Alligator mississippiensis: one gene and its partners. The protein of the gene in region 2 purifies or fractionates together with the protein of the main gene of each other region. This does not show direct contact. Links are inferred from orthologs where the notes say so. Each region holds a gene or a part of one and is shown on either strand. Other genes may lie near its edges.

What was found. Proteins that work in one complex are often made in the same cells at the same time.
Region 1: the proteins of STAT3 (region 2) and TRIM59 purify together in Homo sapiens (affinity purification with western blotting; 4 studies listed by BioGRID). This does not show direct contact. The link is inferred for Alligator mississippiensis from reciprocal best matches to the Homo sapiens genes STAT3 and TRIM59.
Region 3: the proteins of STAT3 (region 2) and CEBPB purify together in Homo sapiens (affinity purification with western blotting; 3 studies listed by BioGRID, with this or other methods). This does not show direct contact. The link is inferred for Alligator mississippiensis from reciprocal best matches to the Homo sapiens genes STAT3 and CEBPB.

The regions. Positions count from the first base shown.
Region 1 is NC_081830.1:68,585,023-68,592,798, reverse strand, and holds the start of TRIM59 (tripartite motif-containing protein 59), read left to right. Parts: upstream 1-4,765; 5' UTR 4,766-4,871; intron 4,872-7,776. UniProt on the Homo sapiens protein: E3 ubiquitin ligase involved in different processes such as development and immune response. Serves as a negative regulator for innate immune signaling pathways by suppressing RLR-induced activation of IRF3/7 and NF-kappa-B via interaction with adapter ECSIT.
Region 2 is NC_081827.1:162,182,053-162,189,204, forward strand, and holds the start of STAT3 (signal transducer and activator of transcription 3), read left to right. Parts: upstream 1-4,136; 5' UTR 4,137-4,244; intron 4,245-7,152. UniProt on the Homo sapiens protein: Signal transducer and transcription activator that mediates cellular responses to interleukins, KITLG/SCF, LEP and other growth factors. Once activated, recruits coactivators, such as NCOA1 or MED1, to the promoter region of the target gene.
Region 3 is NC_081832.1:13,203,878-13,211,861, reverse strand, and holds CEBPB (CCAAT/enhancer-binding protein beta), read left to right. Parts: upstream 1-5,005; 5' UTR 5,006-5,154; coding exon 5,155-6,054; 3' UTR 6,055-7,473; downstream 7,474-7,984. UniProt on the Homo sapiens protein: Important transcription factor regulating the expression of genes involved in immune and inflammatory responses. Also plays a significant role in adipogenesis, as well as in the gluconeogenic pathway, liver regeneration, and hematopoiesis.

The sequences.
Region 1 (7,776 bases), on a different chromosome or scaffold from region 2:
AAGAACTGCAACATGTCTATGAAAGAAAAAAATATTTATTTGTTTTTTATATATATAAGGCAATTCCAAAAAACAGCCTCTCAACACTCCTCTAACATTCGGAAGATGTAGGCAGCCCTATCAAGTCTGGAAATGGGACCAGTGGGAGCTCCGTGACGGATCAATCCTAAGTAGCTAGTTGAAATCTTACACAAAGTGAATCTGAACTTGACTGGAGAAGCTTGCCTCAGACTTGGTATTTTTTTCCCCACTTCTTAAGAAACAGTTTTTAGATCCCTTTGTTGAAGTTCTTTTTCTCTGGTGAGGAAAAAAAATCACCATCCCAGGTTCAGTTCTGTGTTGTCTAATGGCCAGATCTTCCTTTGCCTGGGGTTCAGTTTCTCTGTAAAGGGGAGACTCTGGGACACTTGGGTTTCTGTTTTTCCCCTACGTGAATGGGAGACTTTCATCCATAAGGACTTCAGTTTCCTCTTCAATGAAAGCAAACAGCATAATGGGCTGCCTTTGGGGTTTCGTCTCTTTCTACGAAAGGGAAGTTTCCTGCCACTTGGATGAGCTCCTTACCTCGGGAAAGGAGAACCTGAAGCCCATCAGCCTCACCCTTGGTGGAGGGGCAGCCCCTGAGCTCGCCTCACGCGGTGCGAGTGAGCGGCTCCTCGCCACGGGGCAGCCTCACACTGTCTGAATGCGGCGCTTCTCGCCCACCGGGATCTCTCCCTCCCTGCAGTGGGGCAAGACGACCTGCGAGTCGAGCACCTCGTCCTCGCGGGGCCTGACGAGCGGCGGCCCCCTCCTCCCGCGCCTGCCCGCCTGGGAGTGTACCGAAGTCACGAGGCGGGCCGAAGCGCTGCAGCTGAAGCCGGTGGCGGCGGCCGCTAGGGCGCAGGCCAGGATGCACATGAAGAAGCTGGGCCCGAAGGTGGAGGTGAGGCGAAGGGGCTGCAGTTCCTTCTCCGTCTGCAGCCTGCTGCGCGTCACCTCGAAGAGGCAGGAGCACAGCGCCGCCGCGCCCAGGGCGAGCAGCGCGGCCAGGCCGTGCAGGAACGGGGCGGCAGCGCAGGCTTGCTGCAGGCCCAGGAAGTCCAGCAGCAGGGCGCTGCAGCCGCTGAGGATGGCGACGAGGCAGCAGATCGCTATGGACAGGATGAGGGGCACCCCGGCCGGGCCCAGGAGAGGCGAGTCGGGAGGGGGAGCTATGGGGTTAAGGGCCCACACTGCTCCCAGCACGAACTGCACCTCGTCGCCGCTGACCAGGACCCAGCTGGGGTAGGCCCCGGCCAGGAACATCAGCCCGACGGCCAAGGCTTGGGCCACGACCGCTGCCAGGCTGCCCGTCCGCCTGCTGCCCGCCAGGCCCCGGAGGAGGCGGCCCGGATCCTCGGGGCCCTCCACCTCCATGGACCCGGGGCAGGGAGGGCGGAGGAGAGTCGGCTCCGGGCAGCTGTGCCCCGCCCCCGCCGCGCCGAGGCCGTGCTCCGATGGCCCGGGCGGAGGCAATGCTAAAAAGGGGGAAGGGGGAACAACCTGCTGCCGCTGCGCGGGGCGGGACGGGGACGGGCTGCAGGCAAATCCGCGACTTCCCCGGGGCCGGGGCCAGGCGCAAGGTTTGCTTGGTAAATAAATCCCCTAAAAGGAGATGCGTCTGCCTGAAGGACCCTGCGGGCTTTTGTCCCTTCTTCATTTTGTTAGTAAACTAGGGGAGGGGGCCGGTTTTAACCTTTGCTCTGCCTGTAGAAACATCCTCCAAGGTACAGCCTGACCTTGCCTGATGGTTACAAGGACACAGGTTTAAATTCTTGTAAGCAGCACATGCAGCTAAAAAAACCTAGTGTAGATAAAATTAAAAAGAAAGCTTTGCAGTTACCATTTATTTGTGGAATTACCAGCTTAATCGTTTTTTATTCAACATCACTTTTAAAAAAAAGATGTTGTTTGGCAGCCTTTTACATGAAAAAAATTCCTGTTACTGAATGGGTTACAGTATTGTTCACATCCAGGTCTCTGGTTTCAGTTGTCATAATCCAAATCAGGTTAGTAGTAATCAAATTTACTTAAAATCCACTTCAGATCAACAGTGACCAGAAATCATTATGATCTGATAGAGGATCAGTGCTCTGTAGGAATGAGTTTGATTTTAGTTCAGTTCGTTAGCTGGGCATTTGTATATTACAAGGTCTGCTGCCATAATTAGCCTGAATTGGCAATCTGAACAGACTAACAACTGAGCAGGTATGGAGGAGGTTCACCAACTCTCATCCACAAAGGTAAATCCACTCAGAGTAGGAGCTGTGAGACAAATAATATTTAATCTATTATGTAAAAATAATTTTATTATGAGAGCCTCTGTAAGCATTAAATTCACAGGAAGAAAAATATCTTTTGCTACCTACCTTTGAGGAAAATTCATATTTTTGTATCGGCAAAACTGCAGGGTTAATTGAGTGAAACACAAGAGAGAAAGATGTTATGCTTATAGAAGACCTTTTAAAATATTAGTTTTGTATTATCCAAGGCAGATGTTTAAGTATTTTGGAATGATGAGACTCTTAATATTAATTTGCCATTGCACTGTAAGTAATATGATTTGCTGACTTTTTTAAGGCTGCCATAATATTAGTGTCTAAGAATGTGTTTGAATTTTTATTCCCGTGACTTGACAAATTATAAATAAACCAACATAATCGTGTCTATGTGGAAAATGTACACACCACTGGGTATTTGACCTATAATGTTTTTAGGATTATCAGTGTAACAGATGGTAGATCACAATGCCAGCCACGAAATCCCTCAATGCGTCCACTTTCTAATACTTGCAAACTCTGTTTTTCCCACCTGGTATCCCAGAGCGGAGATGTTCTGGATCTTCCATTTCAATTCCACAGCCTTCAAGTCCCACATTGCAGTCAGAGCCTTCCTGGTCCTAGACTGAATTCTCTTCAAATCCTTGTTCATAGATTCATAGACATTAGGGCTGGAAGGGACTTCGTAAGATCATTAAGTCCAACCCCCTGCCCAAAGGGTAGGAAGTCAGCTAGGGTCAAGGGATCCCAGCAAGATAAGCATCCAAAAGGATACATTTTTGTTCCTTAAAAGTGCCCAGAGTAGGTCCTTGCACCACCTCTGTGGGGAGTCTGTTCCAGGCCTTGGAAGCTCAGACAGTAAAGAAGCTTTTCCTTATGTCCAGCCTGAAACAGTCTTGCAGGAGTTTGTGACCATTGGACCTTGTCATCATCTGGGGTGCTCTGGTGAACAGATGTTCCCCCAGATCCTGATGAACACCCCAATATACTTATAGGCTGGCACCAAGTCCACCCCTTTTTTAAAGTCCAAATGTATAATATCAACCTGTTCCCTTTTGTCCAGATGATACGTCACCTGGTCATAGAAGGAAATGAGATTGGTCAGGCAAGACCTACCTGCAACATGTAGCCTTCTGTTAGCCTGTCAAGAATGATTTCTTTGATCATTTTTTGATAATTTCTCTGATGATTTGTTGACCCTCCCTCATTTAATGAAAAAGATTTTCAACTGTCTGGAATTTGTGAAAATGCTGAATACTTCCAGTTGATTTTCAGTCCCTAAAGATTAGTAACTGGTATAAGTCTGATCTTACTTCCATTTGCAGATGATAAAAGCAGGTGGCAAAACATCTTTACTTTTGTACTGGTCTTCACTACTGAGATTAATTTTTACCCTTAACGCAAATGAAAATCCATAGAGAGCATTTTCCTGTAAGGCAGTTACCTGGGGAAACGAAATCCAAATAGACCAGCTCTGTATTTGTTCCATTTTGTTTTGCCTTGGGTTTCTTTATTGACAGTGAACAGCAGATCAGGGTTTAGTAACTGACTGTAGTGGCATCAGCAAATTAGTTCACCAGTTTCCTCTCCCTGGGCATAAGTAAGTTACTTCATCATTGTAAAACTATACTAGATAGCGTGCTTGTACGTGAAAGTCCTTGTTTAAATTTACAGGTTTAATCCTACTTGCTTGATGATATCACTGATGGTTGCCTTGATACTTTTCAGGTGGAGCCCTGATTTTATGTGATAAATACAAATAGCTGCAGTGTATGGAGCTGTGGGCCATTTCCTATGTTACTTTAAAGGCTCTTAAGTGTATTTATCAGGAGTCATAAATTTCTCATAAATTGTAATTTTAATTTTACTCCAGCAAGTCATCAGTTTGTACAGGACTAGTATTAGAAAACTGCAAAATCACTAGCAGTTGGAAATGCACGTAACTTTATGAATATTCAATAGATTCCTTGAATTTAGGATCTACGGTGCATCTCTGCCAGTGTTAGTAGCGATAGAAACACAAGAATAAGTTGGCGAGAGATTTTACTACCCGGTCCTCTTACTCTGGCCAGTTTCCTGCTGTAACCGCAGGGGTACGACTACTGCAAGAGATGAGAGGATGCGTGCTTTCTCCTTTTTCATGTGCACTGTAACTGCGTGACTTAACTGAGAGAGGAGTCTGAGGGAAAAGCCCTGAAGCCCTTGCTTCAGTTGTGCTCCGCTCCCAGCGGACCCTGCAGACCACCTGAAGGCAGCCCCTCGGCGCTCAGGGAGGGGAGCCTGCACTCGGCCTGTCCGCATTCGCATCAGCCGAGCCAAGGTTTCGCCTTTTATGTCGGAGGGAGAGAATGCGCTTCCGCGCGCGGTGACGAGGCCGGCGGGACCGTTGGTGGCCACGAGCCGAAGTTCGAAAGTGGCAGTTGGAGCCTGCCGTTTACTTTCAAACTGCGCGTTCCGCGGCGGTTGGCTGCAGCGGCGCATGCGCGCGGGGGTCTGCGGCCTCTGCCTGTCCGCCCCCGGCCGCAGAGGGCTGCTGTAGGCGGCGGGAGACGGACGAGTCCGCGCGGGCTGGTGAGTGCCCGGCTCCGGGGGCGGCGCGGCGCGGCGCGGCGAGGCGAAGGGATGCATGCGGGGAAGAGGCTCCAGCATTAAGTGGGGCGTGGGCCCCGCATCCACGGACTGTCACTGGCGCCGCGCAGGCGGCTTCCCCCGTGCCCCGCGCTGTCCGGGGATAATGGCTGCCCGTGGCGGGGGCACGGCCAAGAGCTGGCATCTTCTCGGGGCGTCCGAGTCTCCCGAGTCGGAGACGGTGCGGAGGGCAACGGGGTGGCCACAGACTGGATCCGGCCGACTGGTGGGCGCCCGCCTGGGAGCTGGATCCAGTCATTTGCCCGGCTGGATCCAGCTGGTGAGCCACCTTGTGCCCGCCCCTCCACCAGCTTAATTAGGTTTCACTGATTATGAGCATATGTTTATGTAAGGGGCGCATCACCCCTTGCATGAGGAAGGAAGTGGGGGAAAAAACAAACCTTGCCAGTGTGACCCGGAGGGGGCAGAAATCCCTTTTTGACCCCAAATCTGGCTGTTAGATTAGAGTCTGAATAAGTAAGCAAGTCCTTCCAGCCAAGCACCTGAGTGCTTTTGAAAGGGAACACCAGTGCACCAGTGGCGAAACTGGCTGTTGGCTTCTAGGTGTGGTGAAAAGGAAAAGACCAACCCCCCCCCCCCCAAAAGCAGAAGCCAGAAAGTATTGCATGTGGGAGGGGTGTGCTCAATTCTTCCTCATCCATGAAGGTGACAGCAGAAGCCCTGAAACTGTTGCCTTGTCAGCACAGATCCTGGTTTTCCCTGGTAAAAAGTCACAAATTATCTGTTTAAAAAACCCAAAATCCGTGATAAAAATTAAAGTCCCCCCCCACCCTGCTAGTGCTCCTCACTCCCCCACACAGCCTCCCCAGTCCTGCTCGTGCCCACTACTCCACCCACAACAGCCCCCCAGTCTCCCACAAAGGCACAGACACACAGACAAATACACACACACACCCTAGCAGGTTAGGTGTGGGGGAGGATGGGGGGGAAAGGAAAGGGTTGGGGGTGCAGATTGAGAATGGAGGGAGGAGAGGTGCATCTCTGCATGTTCCCGGAGGGCGGGATGAGGGTAGGCCACACATGCACCGCCCAGTCAGGGTGGGGGGGAAGCTCGCATGCAGCAGCCCCCCACACTACCGCCTCTGGTGGGGAAGGGGCTGGGGGCTGAGGGAGCGAGGATGTGTTGGGAGAAGACATGGAGTGCCTGCTGGCTGGTGGGCACTCCTGGTGCAGGTTTCCCCCGCACCTTCCTCTCCCTCAGCCCTGGGCAGATGAACATGTGGGGGGAGATGGGAATAGAGCGTGCCCCAGGGTGCAACAACGGAGGGGTGAGGGGCACTGCCAGCCCCACGCGACACACCGTAGTGCCCCCCTCCCCCCCACCTTGGCTCACTGTGCCCACTCCCAGGAGCAGGGCTGGGGGGGGGGAGGGGGGAGTGCAGTGGTCCCTCTCTGTGGCCCATATGTGCACCGCCTGGCTCGGGGGGGCCACACACGGACTACCACTGCACCGCTACACCTTGCACCTGTTGCCCGCAGCTGGAAAGCCACATGGGATATGGTGGCAGCTGCTGCGTGCGAGCCCTCCGTCCTCTCCAGGGCAGCCATGTGCAGCTCACAGAGGGTCACCGCTGGCCTGGTCCCCCTGACCCTGCTCCGGGCAACCAGTATGGTGGCAGCGGTGCAATGGTGCTGGCACAGGGTGGCTGCCACCATGCTGCTGCTAGTGGCTGGCATTGCACTGCCCCTGGCCTCTGCCCCCACACTGCATTTTTGGTTGCACACTGTGGCGGCCGCCAGCACTGCTGCACTGCCGCTGCTGTGCCCCACATCACTTGCCCAGAGCAAGGGTGAGGGCAGTAGTGCCCTTCTGCGGGCCCCACATGCCTGCTTGGCCGGGTGGGGCTCACACACGGTGGCTACCAGCACATCCCTGTGCGGCTTTCTGGCTGCGGGCAAGTGGTGCAAGGTGCAGCGGTGGCGGGTGCTCCGTGTGAGCTCCCCCAGACTGTGGCTCACAGAAGGACGCTGCTGCCCTCACTCCCCTGGCCCTGCTCCTGCGAGCAGGCACAAAATGAGCTGAGGTGGGGGGGGCGGCAGTGCCCCTCACACCTCTGCCGCTGTGCCCTGGGACACGCTCTGTTCCCCAACTCAATCTCCCTTCCTGCCCAGGCTGAGGGAGTGGAAGGTGTTGGGGAAAGCCCCACCAGGAGCGCCCGTTAGGCAGCAGGCATTGCATTTCTTTCCCTGACACATCCTCGCTCCCTCAGCCCCCAGCCAGCTTCCCCCCTCTCAAGCCCCACAACCCCCAAGCCCCACTCACCTCCAGGAATGAAGAAGAGTGATCCTGATGTAGCCTCTGGTAAGTGAGTGTGTTGGGTCCTGCCCTTTCCCCCTCCCCCTCCGGGCAGGGTTAGGGGTTTCCTGCCCTCTTGCAAACAGCTCTTGCAGGCTGGAACTCAGCTAGCCTGTAGAACTCTTCACAAAAGGGGGAAATCCATGGGTTTCCCCGCTGAAAGGGAAAATCCACGTGTTCTGATTAAATCAGGAATTCCGTGGTTTTTTTCCATTTTTATGTGGGAAATGGAAAACCCCGATGTTTGCTTATCAAACACCTTTCTCCTGGAGATGGATTCCTTTCACCCCATCATGGGGATACCAAGTACTTTAATCCACATGTGATATTAGGGATATAAATACTGATTAAAAAATACCTGCTTAACCTGTTATTACAATGCTTAAATGATTATTTGCTATGGCAACCCCCTTCCTGGCCCATGTGAAGCTGTTCTGGCCCAGTCTGCAGGGCACCCCTGCCCAGCCTGGCACCAGTGGGGTGCTTTCAGCCCCCCAGCTCAGTGACCTCCCAAGGGCTGCACCTGAGTGA
Region 2 (7,152 bases):
GAGACATAGTTAGACCTATTAGTCTGAAGTTAAGTAGAGGGTGGGGTATGTTTATACTTTATAGACTAACCAGCATAGATATGTGTGTATGTATACATACAGGGGCAGATCCAGAAGGGTGCACTTGTACCTGCTTTGATTTCTGGTCCACCCAAAGCTTAAAACCAAGTGCCTGGCAATGGCAGCAGCATTTCTAGTCAGGTAGTGCTGAGGGAGTTACTTGACTGCATATCTTATCATCATGTACCTGATCCCCTCTAACCTCTACACCCCACAGGTATTAATGACCCTCTTTTCTTTTTAGTGGTCTTGATGTTCCACCAACCAAGGTAGCCTGTGTCTTGCAATTGTGCTGTCTGTTAGCTGTTCCTGGTCAGGAAACCCCTATTTCACAAAACCTGCAGACTGCTTGTTTTTAACTCCATTCCAATGAAGTTATATATTTTTTTTGCTTCAAACTTCAACTGAATAGTACAGCCTAGGCCCCTAGCATAGTAGTAAAGCTTCTTGGGTGTTTATACATGTGCTCTGGGAGTGGGGGGAGGTGTTTTAATTAGAGCTGCTCCAAGAGCCACTCTAATTAACATGCCCTGAACATCTCGTATATCAGCATCCCGATGCTGAAAAATGTTGGCAGGGGCACTTCAAAGCGTGTCGAACAAGCTTTAGTTACAATGCCCCCCCCACCGTTTTTCAGCATGCGGATGCTAATACACAAGATGCTGGAGTCTGCTGGAGCATAGTAATTGCCATGCTCCAGCAGACTCAATTAATCGAGTCTGCTCTGATGCACTGTAATTACAATACATAGGAGCAGCCTGCACATGTATAGGTGCCCCTAGTTTCTTTTTAACTAGAGAAAAATGTATTGTTTTTATATGAGGTGATGGACCTCACCGCACCCTCTTCTTCAAAATCCTAGGTCTGCCCCAATATGCATGTGTGTGTATGTATATGCATGTGTGGACACGTCTATGTATGTATATACAATATATATGTGTATGTAAGTATGTATGTATGTGTATATGCATCTATGTGTATGTGTGTATATGCCGTTGTGCATGTGTTTGTGTGACCTGTTTGTATATGTATGTATGTGCATGTGAACAGGTGTGTATACATATGTGTAGGTATGTGTGCATATGTGTGCGTACGTGTGTATGCATCTATATATGTTCATACATATGTATATGCATGCATTTAAGTATGTGCATGTCTATATGTGTGTGTCTATGCATGCATGTACGGCTACGTGTATGTGTGCATGTATACATGTGTGTGCATGTGTATATGAGAAGATGCAAACACTATGTCTATGGTTCTGTGTCCTTTCCTGAAACCTGTACATGACTTTCATTGACCTGACAAAAGCATTTGATACAGTCAATTGGGAAGGCCTTTGGAAGATCATGGCAAAATTTAGATGCCCGGAGAAATTCATTGCAATGGTTTGGCAGTGCCATGATGGCATGCTTGCTCTTGTTGTGGATGCCGGTGAGTCATCTGAGCCAATGGAGTTGAGCAGGGCAGTGTGTTAGCCCCAATCCTCTTCAGTATGATTTTCTCTGCTGTGCTTACAGATGCCGTTCGTGACTGTGATGCTCTGATTGACATCAGATACTGGACTGATAGCAAGATCTTCAATCTAAGGAGACTACAGGTGAAAACAAACTTACAGGAAGTGACTGTGATCTTCTGTTTGCTAATGACTGTTCCATGAATACCAAATCTGAGTCTGACATGCAGTGAAGTATGGACTACTTCTGTCGTCTTAGTGTTGATTGTGAGACCAAATCTCACAAGCTGAAGAGAAGTGATACACCAACCTGCACCAGGAAAGCCATGTGTAGAGTCTACCATCACAATGAATAGCCAAATCCTCCAGGCAGTGGACAAATTCACTTATCTCAGAAGTACACTGTCACATATGCTTCACATCACTGATGAAACAAATGCCAGAATTGCTAAAGCAACCATGGCCTTCAGCGACTACATGTAAATGTGTGGGAGTCCAGAGGCATCGGTCAACAAACAAAACTGAAGATCTACAGAGCCATTATGTTGCCAATCCTGATGTATGCATGCAAAACTTGGATGATGTACAGATGCCATGCTATGAAGCTGAATTACTTTCACATGGGCTGTCTGAGGAAACTGATGAGGATAAGATGGCAAGACAAGGTCCCAGACACTGAGGTTCTTACATGGGCAGCCATTCTAAGCATCCACATTCTGTTGATGAAATTACAGTTGAGATGGGCTAGCTGTGTTGCCAGGATATCAGATGAGCAACTGCCAAAGATCTTTCACAGTGAGCTGAAGGAGGGAAAGAGCTCTCCAGAACAAATGCTTCAAGGACTCCCTCAAGTCATCCTTGAAACATTTCAACATTGACCCAAAATCTTGGGAAGATTTTGCTCATGATCGTTCCACCTGGTGAAGCCTCGTCCATACTGGAGCTACTGTCTATGAGCGGAGAACTGCTGAGGCAGAAAAGTGCAAACAGCGTAAATCTCACAACAGCAGCAAGCAACCCAAAGGGGCATCTCTTGCTCAGTCTGCCATAGACCAGTGTTTCTCAACCTGTGGGTCACAAGAATGTATGAAAGAGTCACAAACAAACCTTAAAAATGGATTAATGAACTTTTTAAAATGGATTCTCCATTAAAGGAGAAAAACATGGGGAAACGGTGGCTTTTCCCCTGCAGGCTGGAGGAGTTCTAGCCTGCAAGGGGCTGTTTGGATCCCACCTCCCCTTTGCCCTACACACTGAAGGGCTGGGGCCTGGGGGTAGTGGGTCAGGAGTGAGGGGCAGTGGGTTGGGACTGGCCATCAATGTTTACAAATGGGCCCTGGTACAAAAAAGTTGAGAACCACTGGCATAGACCGTTCTAAGCACAAATTGGCCTGATCAGCCATTCACGTGTTCACAGAAACCAAACCAACCAGTGATGTCTTGGTCATTTTCAAATTCAAAGGATGAACAGCAACAAGTGTGTATGTGTGAGTATGCATATGTGTATGTACAGACATATGTGTATGTCTACACGTGTGTATACATGTGTACTTAGCTCTCTATTGGCGAAACATGGACTTCTTATGCTAAGGAAAAAAGAAAACAAGTTTCCATCTTTGATGTCTCTGTTGTATCCTGGGCATAACATGGCATGACAAAATCTCCAACTTGGCTGTTCTGGAATGGGGCAAGATGCCCAGTATGTTCATGGACCCGAGGCAAATGCCTCTGTTGGTTAGGGCATGTGAATCGTATGAGCCATTGCGGCACGTGTGTATTACATCCCCCCCGCCCCCGCCCACCCAGGTAGCCTGTCTGCATTTTACCAGCTAGGTTCTTTCTCCCCCACCCCCAACCTGTCTCTCACCTATTGTCCCCCATTCCCACCTATATTTTCACAGACCTGCATTTTGCATATTGGCTCCTGTTCTACCCAGGGGAGCAGACACACACCAGCAGAGCAGACTCGCTCTATGCCTGAAGAAGGGTGCTTGGGCCTGGCAGGTTGCAAAGAACAGTTGGTCTGATAAAAGAGATCACATCTACCCAGAGAAACTTGTCCGCCTATGTGTAAATGTGTGCGCGCGTGCGCAGGTGTATATTTGTGTGCGTGTGCATGTGTACACGTGTGTATATGCATGTGCGTGTGTGGGTCCACACCCCCGTGCAGGTCAACGGGATGGGTGGGACCAGCGCGGCGGGATGAGCCGCAGCATCCCAGGGCGCGGGGTGAGGGGCTCTACGTGCCCCCCGCCCCCGCTTGGCTCGGCTGCTCTGGCCCTTTAAGAGGCGGCAGCAGAAACAGCCCCGGCTGCGCTGACGTCAGAGTGCTGCCCGGAACTCAGCTGAGTTTCCAGCACAGAAGTTCCCGGCAGTCGCCGTTCCGCCCGCCGCGAGCCCTGGCCTCTCCTTTCCACTGGCTCGGCCGCGCGGTGGGAGGTGCGTCCCCCACCCGGAACAGCCGCCAGGGGGCACGCGCCGGCGCCTTCCTGATTAATGAAAGAACCAGGAGGGACTGGAGGCGCTGATTGGCTGGGGAGGCCCGTCCCCCGCGAATCCTGAGCTCACCCGGGAAGCCATTGGCTAGGACGATTGTGACGTTAGGGTCGAGGGGGCGGGGCTATTAGAGTGGCAGGTCTCGCGTCATCCGCGGAGGGATCAGATCCCCGCTTGCCGCAGGGAGCCGGAGCCGCCGTCCCCGGCCCGGCCCGGGAGCCCTTCCCCGCAGGTGAGCCGAGCCGAGCCTGGCCTCCGGGGGGGCAGTGCCCGGGGTGCTGGGGCACGAGTGGGTGCCCCTTCCAGGGGGCTTTGGCAGCCGCTGGGCGTGGGTGCTGGGTGGCATGCAGGGTGGCTTGGAGCATTTCCAGGCTCCCGGCCCAGGGGAGCCAGGCCTGTGGGCCCTGCAGAAAGTGAGGGCTGTGGTTGGCAGATTTAAATGCCCTGGAGCTAGGAAATCTGGTGGTGATGCCTGTGGCAACCGGATCTGGTCCCCTCTCGCACATCCGTCACGTCTTGTATCAGGTCATCTGGGACGCTGGCATGGTGCAGCTGCATTTGTGGTTGGCAGGAATCGGGTGCCGCCACCATTAGGGAGCTCTGTCTGTGCCAGTGCTTGTGCCATCTCTTGTCCCTGGATCTGGGCAGGGGCCCGAGGAGGAAGGTTGCACATGGGGTACAGGCAGATGCACCTGTTGCCATTGCTGGGTGTCAGTGGAGAGCCTTCCTTGTGAATCTTGGCTTCCAGGCCTTTGCGGACTCTATCTTGGTGCTCTTCCTCCTGAGCTGCTCTCAGGCTCCTTGCAGCCTTTCCAGGCTTTGAAATTGCTGGTTGGATTATGACCCTGCTGAGAGTTGTTTATGATGACCCAGCCAGTGTCTGTTTGCACAGCAGTTTCAGTAAAACAGGGTGTTTCATGTCTACAAAACTTCACTGCCAGCACTCCCAAATTGCCAATCCCCTGCACTGTTTGGAGTCCAGTAGCATGGATAGCTGAGGCTGAAGAGAGTTTTTAGAAAACCCTATTCCCAGTAGCATGGATCTTGAAAAGCTTCTTTTTTTTTTTTTTTCTAACAACGGTGTTTATGTTTGTAGTTCAGATAACCTGGCTCAAGAAAAGAGTCATCAGTTTCGTTTTTGTTGTTAGTCAGTTTCCAATTTCTAGCTCTCCCTCAGTAGACAATCCTGTGGCATTAATTAGTACCGCAAGCACTGCGGAGGAGAGAAGCCTCCCATTGTTCTACTGCCTGCAGATGTGCCAGTCCTCTCCGAGAATTGGGCAGAACGTTGCCATTGCTTCTAAAGGGCGTGGGATCAGAAACTTTAAGAGGAGAAATGAATGCCCCCACCTGGCATTTCTTTTGCAAAAGAGATTTGTTTCCTTCTCACACCTAATAAAATTATTATAAGTTTGAGCTTGGCAGGAGTTGTTATTGGGGTGGACTGGTTGCTGCTGACAAAAATGTCTGTAAAGATTAAAACTATAAGGTCTTGTGTGTCCTGCAAATATCATCTCTTCTATGCAAGCAGGAGTATAAAATGGCCTTGTTTAATTCAGTGAACATACTTCTATTGCTGAATGCATTTTTAAAATGTAACACTAAGAGACTTGAGTCTAAAATGCCTTTTCAGAGCAGGAATCTATGGATAAATGTAGGAAAAATTCAAGAAACCAAAACATCAGGATTATTAGTTTATATTGGATCCTGGGATTTAGTTCCCAAGCAGATGTGTGTACTTCTCAGAGTTTTAACCATGAAATGATCCTTATCCCACAAATTTAGAAATGACTGAGGACAAGGATTTCTATTAGAGCACCTAAAGAACACAGAGCATAAGCTGCAGAACCGTTCCTTACAGGCATTGGTCCAATACCAGATCTTAGATTAAAATTGCTGTGATATTGAGTTTACTTGTAATGAAGACTGAAAACCAGAAACTTGTGGTTCTGTGTTTGGTCAAACCAAGGTTGGTGAACTGATTCGTGTTTCTGAGACAGGTGTGAACTCTGGCTTGCATATTTTCCTGTTGCTTGATGCAACTGCTCCAAAGTCTTCCGGTTAGAGAGAGTCTCTTGTGCAACATGGGCTTCATTGCCTGGACCAGACAGTGGTTTTGTAGTAGTTTATATAAAGAGAACTGACTGGTGTTATAAGTAAAACTCAAGGTCTCCGTTTCACATCAGTAGGTAGTAATACAGAGCAGCTGTGCCAGAGGTTACCTAAGTATTTCCCAGGGCCTTTTAGTCACTGTATCTGTATCACATAATCTTCAATGCAACTTGCCCACCACTTTATAGAAGAGTGATATGCCCAGGGTCATAAAAAGGATCCGTGACAAAGTAAGGAATTGAACCGTAGCCTTCCAAGCTTCAGGCTAGTGCTTTCTACATTGGTTCTGGTACTGCTGAGCTGAGCACCATTATGTCTGAGAATTGCATAAAGACATGTGGCTAACATCTGTCATGTATGCATTCTTTCACCTCCCAAGGGGGAGAAGTGTGTGGGATGTTCTAGCTTTGCACTTGTATATATGTGTACATGTATGCATGTTACAGCGCATAGGACCAAAAAAGGGCACTTGAAACAGACAGTAGAAGGTCCTGGGGGAGTTTGCCATGTAGTCTCTCACTAGCAACCAGAGATCTTCTGAGTGCATGGATGTACTTTTAACCTTTAGTGCCAGAGTGAATGCACCAACCACTGTCTTCATCCTGGAACTGTAGTTGGTCTTTTGACTAGGCTAGCCTGGCCTTGGTCTCTAAGAGCCTTGAAGGTAAGGATTGAGACCCTGAATGTGGTTTGGAATTCTCTGGGAAGCCAATGCCAGGTGCAGAGATCGGGTATGACAGTTTCTGCAGAAGAGAAGGGCTGCAGCCTCTGTACTTGTTGAAGTATCCCAAGCCCTGCAGGACTTTTGCACATGGCTGCAGTTCTGACAAGAGGTGATGAAGGTGTGAATAACTGAGGCCAGGTTCCTGTCTCCTTCTATGGAATGGAGTCTCCCAGCCAGCTGGAGAGGGTAGAAGTTGTTGCTTTTGCATGCTGTTATGGGAGGGAGAGCTCAGGGTTGGTAAGGATCCTGGAAGCATACTTGAGCCAGAGATGGAGGTGACCAATGGGCTGCATATCTTTTACTG
Region 3 (7,984 bases), on a different chromosome or scaffold from region 2:
AAGCAGAGGTTAAGGTGGACAGAGCCGGAATGGGATCCAACTTCAGGTATTAACCACTGTCCAAAGTTTCACGCATGCAGTGTCTGTAGGACAGAGTGTTACTGAGTGCAGAGATAGATTTGAATCAAAGTACAGTGGGTGTCTAAGAGCTACTAGTGGTTGGGTGGGTGCATGTATATGAGAGGGTACAGAGGGAGCCAAAGTTACAGAAGGGATCTTGGCAGCATGAACATGGAGCACAGTGTCCAAATGCAACAAAAATACGCTGAACAGTTGCCTGTGTAAGTTGCTGCCTTTGTTGCAATGAGCCAACATTTCACCTCTCCAGAAAAGCTTCCTATAGGCAGCTGTTTCACCAGACACCTCTGTCTTGTCTCCAAGACCATCCATAGTGCCTGGCAAACACTCCCCGCAAGCCAGGACCTTTTTTCTCCTTCCAGTCTCTCCTTAACTCTCCTCTGGCATGCTGTCTGCAAAACAGCCTGCTGGAATTGCCCTGGAAGGCGGCAATTTATTGCAGGTGGAATTAATAAGTATATAAGGGGTGTCCATCAGGATCTGGGAGAACAGTTGTTCACCAGGGCTCCCCAAGGGATAACAAGGTCTAATGGCCACAAACTCCTGGAAGGCCAATTTAGACTGGACATAAGAAAAAACTTTGTTACAGTCCCAGTGTCCAAGGTCTGGAACAGACTGCCCCCAGAGGTGGTGCAAGCACCTACTCTGGACTTTTTCGAAAGGCATTTGGAGGTTTATCTTGCTGGGATCATTTAACCCCAGAAGACTTCCTGCCTATGGCAAGGAGCTGGACTTGATGATTTCACAAGGTCTCTTCCAGCCCCTAATGTCTATGACATCTATGAATTTGTATGCCTCGTCGTTCCTCTTCCATCCCCCACTCCTTGGTTCATTCAGTTATGTTTGTTTTTTAGTCTGCAGCTTTTTGGGACAGATTGTTTCTATCAGTTTGAACACTGCCTAATGCAATGGGACCCTGGTCTAGCTGAGACCTTCAAGCACTACTGCAATTCAAAGGATAAATAATAAACATTGACAGCTTGCAATGAGAAGTGTTTGTGATATTTAGCCAGACTCCATCTTACCTCTCAAGAGAATAGTTAGTTTAATCCCAGCTGGCAAATATTCTGCTCTTTGATCTGTTGGCATCATACAAACATCCTCTGCCCAAAGCTGACATGAACTCATGGGTCAGACTGGGAGAACTAGAAATGCAGAACTAGAGATCCTGAACCACTCAAAAAGGTACAGAGCGAGCCTCTGAGGAGGGGAACTTCAGCAAGGTTTTAGCAGAGGTCTGATCCAGGGAAGAGAATGCACCGGGAGTCCAGGTGTTCCTGTCCTGCAGCAGCTTAGGGAGCAGGATCCAAGGCCTGGTGGTAAAGTAGGAGTGAGCTCTGTTCAGCAGATCAGGACATGCTGTTCTCTTCACCTTTTCCCTTTTAGATTATCCTTGTTTCACCCTCCAGCGTCTGCATCTATAGTCAAGTGAAGCCATAAACATTTGTAGTTTATTGAGTCAGAAGCAAGAGCTGGCCAGAAAACTGGGTTTCTCTCCAGGGAACTTCTGTCTTCTTACTGAGAAACTAATTTCTTTTTTGAATAAAAAGAAATACTTTTGGCCGCCAAACTGAATGCTCTTGATCTCCCAATGAAAAATCAGAAACATTTTCCAGGAAAGCAGGCCTCTCCCACCAAAGCCATGGAGTGAGAAACCTGATTGCTTGCAGAAAATGTTTGGACAGAAAACTTTTTGTGCAGCCCTGGTAAGAAGTGCTGTTTCTCTCCACTTCTTCTTGGAGCAAGGGCTAGCGCCCAGCTCTTCAGTAGGAGGAATGTCTGTGTCTCAACATGTGCAAAGAGCAGGTTTCCAGAGCAAAGGCTCTTTAGGAGGCTTATTGTGCACATCTAGCCAAGCTACGACGTGACATTCTCCAGACAAAACTTAGCAGGCTGGGACTATAGCATGAATCAAAGTCTCCATCTGGCCATATCTATAGTTTAGATCATCCCCCACCCTACTTGAAGTCACCATATTAGCACTGACCAGTGCAGATAACACAGGTCAAAACCTGGGCCATTGAACAGTAAGGCTTTTGACAAAGTGTTTAGTCTCTGCCAGCAAGAGAGAGTCTCTGCCATGCTACTGAAAAATCAGTGTGCCAAAACTTGGTGTAGGGGATGAAAAAGATGCAGCAGGGCATCAGGTGAGCTTCTGACCTTCATCACCATTGTGGTTAAAATGTTTCTAGCACAAACAATACCACTTAGCACTGATAGCTAGGGAGAAGGCATGGCTTGCACACAGCTTGATATGGAGGTCTCACAGAGCTACACATGGATCAACCTCGTGAGGGACAAGCAGGCCCAGACTAGAACACAGCAAGCTGCTGCCAAGCAGTGGAGAGGGAGGCAGGTGTCCAAGCAGGGGAGCGTTAGACTTCCCAGGTAGATCCAACAGGCTCACCAAGCTGATTTTTACTGGCAACTAGTTTTATCAAATGGTTACGGTAAATCAGAGACCTAGCAAATGTAATACCAAGATAGACCAGAAGTGCTCCAGGGGTGCCTGCAAAGGGGGACATTTTAGAAATGGATAATGAACAAAGTGGATTGTGATGTGTTCAGCTACTGTACCATGTACGGCAGCAATTGGCTATAGCTGTCAGGTCAGGAATCAGGAGGATAAATGTGAACAGCTCACCACAACTTGCCAGAATCTGCATCCTGTGGAGAGTTTATATTTGTAGATGGATGTCCCCTCGCTACAATATCCAGACCCAGCCACACAACTCAACGCCCTTTTTATGAAATGCACAGTTCCCAAACATTAGCTGAATGACAGAGATGTGCAGTAGGAAATATGTGAAGTCTCCGAACCTGTCAGCGTACTTTACTCTGGAAGAAAATCAGTTTACAAGACCAGATGAAACAGAAAGAAAGAACGAAAGAACGAGCAAAAGAACGAAAGGAAAAAAAGAAAGTCCGATTTTCGAATCCTTCCTCTTTTTGAAGTCCGGAGGTTGGAACATTCGTGAACAGTTGACTGTTTGAATCGTATAATGCAATACCTGTTCCTCTGGCTTAACGTTACAATATTTCCCACACCGCAGGATTGCTTCACAGTAGACTAAGAGGCAGTGTCATTTTCCCTGCAGTGCTGGGTCTTCTTTGCTGAGGCAAAGGACACTCCTACTTCCTTTAATTATATGTTTTGTTTTAAATTGATGTCTTTTATTTTGGGCATGAATCACCAGCTTGTAAACAGGTAAATGTGGGAGTAAAAGAAGGAAAATATAAGTTGGATTCCCAAGAAGGGTGTCTTTAATTAAAATCGGAATCGAGTTTCATTCTCACTTCTCCAACTCGCTATGGCTCCTCTGGGTCGATCCTGCTGAACGAAAGAGCGTATCCCATGGCTTTGTGTATGTACGTTGCCTTTTCCCCAGTCATTCTGGTTGCAGATTGCTGTTCCAAAGCCCAGCTCTGTATCTCCTGTGTACCCTGACAGTTGCAACATACCCTTCAAGGTAAACACGCCAGGCCAAACTCTGAGGCCACAGTTCCCGCACAGAGGTGGGGAGGGCAGTTTGGGATTTGCCTGACACTCTAGATGCTTCCAGTTCAGAGGTGGCTTTTGTGGCGGGGCCTTCCCTGCTCTGACTCCACAGCAATAACCTTTTTGCTCGTTGTCATAACCAGTCACGAGCATGTCTGCACGGAGCAGCTTTGCCTGTCAGGGTGACAGACTGAGCTGGGAACTGGTCTGGGAATAAGAAGATCTAGTTTCCGTGTGTGGCTCTGCCCCAGACTTGATGAGTGACCCTGGATCAATCGCTTGCTCTGTGTCCTGATTTCCCCAGGCCCTGCCTCAGTTCCCCCCCCCCCCCCCAAATCTAAAATGGGGAGAAGGATACTCACCCAACGTTGGGCAGTACTTGGAGGGCACACATAAGCGGTGCTTTCAAACACTGTCACATTCAAAGGATCCAGCTTCTCCTGGCACAAGGGCAGCTTCTGTGTCTCATGGGCCATGGGGGTGTGTGTGTGTATGTGCCTGTGTGTGTGTGTGCATGTATGTGTGTATGGGTGAATATGTCTGTGTGTGCATGTGTACACATGTCAATGTGTGTCTGTGCATGTATGTGTGTACAGGTGTGTATATGGTGGGTTTTCTCCTTTGCAGTAATACAGATGACCCCAGCAGTCTTTCCTGCCCAAGCACAGGGCGGCTGGACCCGATGATCTGTAAGGTCCCTTCCAGCCCCTAACAACTATGAAACTGTGTATGGGTATGTGTGTGTAGACATATGAGTATGTGTAAGGGCATATGTATGGGGGTGTGTGTGTGTGTGTGTGTGCATGCATGTGCATGTGTGTGTACGGGTGTACATATGTGTGTAAGGGTGCATGTATGTGTATGTGTGTATATGGGGGTGTGTGCATGCCTGTGTGTACGGGTGTACATATGTGTCTAAGGATGTCTGTATGTGTGCATGTATGTGTGTGCATGCACATGTGTATGTGTGTGTACGTGTGTGTGTGCACATGCCTGTGTGTAAGGGTGTGTGTGTGTGTGTGTGTGTATGTGTGTGGGCACACATGTATGTGTGTGTACGGGTGTGTGTGTGTGCCTGTGTGTACGGGTTTATGTGTGTGTGTATGGGTGTCTATATGTGTGGGCATACACACGTGTACGGGTGTATGCATGTGCCTGTGTGCGTGCCCGGGGTCCCGTCCCCGCAGCCACGGGGTCTCCCTCCCTTTGCCCGGCCGGACGGTCCGCACCTGCCCGCCGGGACAGGGGCTGGCCGCGCCCGGGCGCTGAGCGCGGCGCGGTGCGGCGCGGTGCGCTGCGGGGCCGGGAGCGGAGCGGAGCGGAGCGGAGCGCGCGGCTCGCCGCCAGCCATGACGTGGCTGTTGCCATGGCAGCGCCGCGCCTATAAATCCCCGCGCGAAGAAAGTTTCCCAAGTCAGAGCCGTGGGGCGCGGGCCGCGGCCGGATGGTCCGAGCGCGGGGCGGCGGCGGCGGCAGGAGGAGCCGCGGGCAGTGAGCGGCGGGCAGCGCAGCGCAGCGCAGCGCGTCCCCAGCAGGCTCCGGAGCAGGCTGCGGAGCTGCGCCCGCCGTTCGCGTTCATGCAACGCCTGGTGGCCTGGGACGCGGCATGCCTCCCGCTCCAGCCACCCGCCTTTAAGCCCATGGACGTGGCCAACCTGTACTACGAGGCGGACTGCCTGGCGGCGCTCAGCAAGCTGCACCCGCGCGGCCGCCCCATGAGCGAGCTGGGCGCGGGCGTGGGCGAGCACGAGCGGGCCATCGACTTCAGCCCCTACCTGGAGCCGCCGCCCGGCCCCGCGCCCGCACCCGCGCCCGCTCCGTCCGCGGGGGGCGGCTTCGAGCCCGGCGGCGGCGGCGGCGGCGGCGCCGACTTCCTCTCCGACCTCTTCGCCGAGGACTACAAGGGCGGCGCCAAGAAGGGCGACTACGCCTACCTCGGCCTGCCGCGCCACGGCCACGGCCCCGGCCGCTTCGAGCCCGCCAAGGCGGAGCCGCCCGTCTTCGAGACGCTGGACTCGTGCAAGGGCGGCCGCAAGGAGGACGGCGGGGCCATGGCGGCGGCCTACGGCAGCGCGGCGCGCTCCTACCTGGGCTACCAGTCCGTGCCCAGCGGCAGCAGCGGCAACCTCTCCACGTCCTCGTCGTCCAGCCCGCCCGGCACGCCCACCCCGGCCGAGGCGGCCAAGCCGGCGGGCGCCGCGGGCTACGGCGGCGCCAAGGCCAAGGGCAAGAAGAGCGTGGACAAGCACAGCGAGGAGTACAAGCTGCGGCGGGAGCGCAACAACATCGCGGTGCGCAAGAGCCGCGACAAGGCCAAGCAGCGCAACCTGGAGACGCAGCACAAGGTCTTGGAACTGACGGCCGAGAACGAGCGGCTGCAGAAGAAGGTGGAGCAGCTCTCCCGCGAGCTCAGCACCCTCAGGAACTTGTTCAAGCAGCTGCCCGAGCCCCTGCTGGCCACGGCGGGACACTGCTAGCCGGCCCGGGCCCCGCGGCCACGGCGCGGGGCGGGGGCGCCCGCGGGGAGGGGGCGCGCAAGTGTGTGTGTGTATGTGTATGGGGTGGCCTGTATCTATTTGTGTGTGTGTGTGCGCGTGCACATGGGGGTGTCCTGTATCCGTCTGCCTGTGTGCGCATGGGGCATGGCATGGATCTGTGTGTGTGTGTGTGCACATGGGGGTGTCCTGTATCCGTCTGCCTGTGTGCGCATGGGGCATGGCATGGATCTGTGTGTGTGTGTGTGTGTGTGCACATGGGGGTGTCCTGTATCCGTCTGACTGTGTGCGCATGGGGCATGGCACGGATCTGTGTGTGTGTGTGCACATGGGGGTGTCCTGTATCCATCTGACTGTGTGCGCATGGGGCATGGCACGGATCTGTGTGTGTGTGTGCACATGGGGGTGTCCTGTATCCGTCTGACTGTGTGTGCATGGGGCATGGCACGGATCTGTGTGTGTGTGTGCACATGGGGGTGTCCTGTATCCGTCTGACTGTGTGTGCATGGGGCATGGCACGGATCTGTGTGTGTGTGTGCACATGGGGGTGTCCTGTATCCGTCTGACTGTGTGTGTGCATGGGGCATAGCATGTTTCTATTTGAATGTGTGTGTGTGCGCATGGGGATGTCATGGATCTCTGTGTGTGTGAGGGGTGTCTGGGGGGTGTATGGAGTCTGTGTCTACTGTATAGGGGTGTGGAGTGCGTGTGTGTGTAGGTATGGGGGTGTGTTTATATATGGGGGGATGTCTGTGTGAGGGATGTGTGTGTGGAGTATATATGTCTGTATGGGATGTGTGTGTGTGTATGAGGGGTCGGGTGGCTGCTTGTTCCTTGCCCCCCCCCCCCCCGAGACTGGACTGGGGCCAGGGGAGACCCGGGGAGAGCCTTGAGCTGTCTTTGCTGGTGTCTGTATGTACCTGCTGGCGGGAGAACCCCCCCACCCCAGCCTCTGCCTTCCTTGGGAAAGGGGGAGCTCCTGGGCTCCTCCATCCCTGCTGGAGGAACCGTGTTTCCTGGGGGCCATTGCTTTGTTTCAACAGCAGCCAAAGTCCCCCTTCCTGCCCCCCCCCCCCGCCTTTCCCCCCCTTCCTGATGCACGATCTCTGCAGGCTGGTGAATGCTAGAGTTATTTAAAACGGAGCGAGAGGGAGAGAGAGCAGAGAGTGATGCAATCCTTGAAACATGGCTGGGAATGCTGTGGACATGATGCAATCTCATGTAACTGTCAGTCATGAATTGAGTAATCTGTTTAAAGATGTTTCTACTTTTTTTTGTTTTTTTATTATAAAGAGTAATCTATTTCTATAAGAAAGCGTGTGTATATTTTGGGATCTATGCCTTCTTGCTGCGGTCGAAGCATTAATGAACAATTTTAATAAATTTTCTGGCTAGGAACAAGAGGTGCTTGTTTTATTTTCAAGGCACTGTCAAGGCAGAACGAATCGGCGCGCTCTGGCCTGCCTTGGTGAGAGCAAGGAGCAGAACTTTTTCTTTTTGACTCCGTGACTCAGCAGAAGACTAAGAGAGAACCGGTGAAGAGCCGAGCCTGGGAGTCTGAGCCAGTTCCCCCTTGCTGCCTCCTTGAATTTCCTCTAATACCTTGATTTTGCTGCTGCCTGGGGGTTTTCTGGGGATTGTTTTTTGTTTTTTTTTTTTAAAGCAGGTTTCTTGCTTCTCGGTTATGTGACTCGGCATTGCTGCTGCCTGTAGTTTACAGGGATAAACCAGAAGATGACAGAATTTTTGTGTTGAATGTCGGGAACTTTGGGTCAGCACTGAGACACCTACCACAAAACCCAGCTGAGGTGAGATGCATGTGAACAGCTCTCCCTACAGTCTTCTTTTGGGCCTTTATTCTGCAACATATTTCTAACAAAGTGCTGATAGTGCTGCTCCTCTGGAAAGTGCA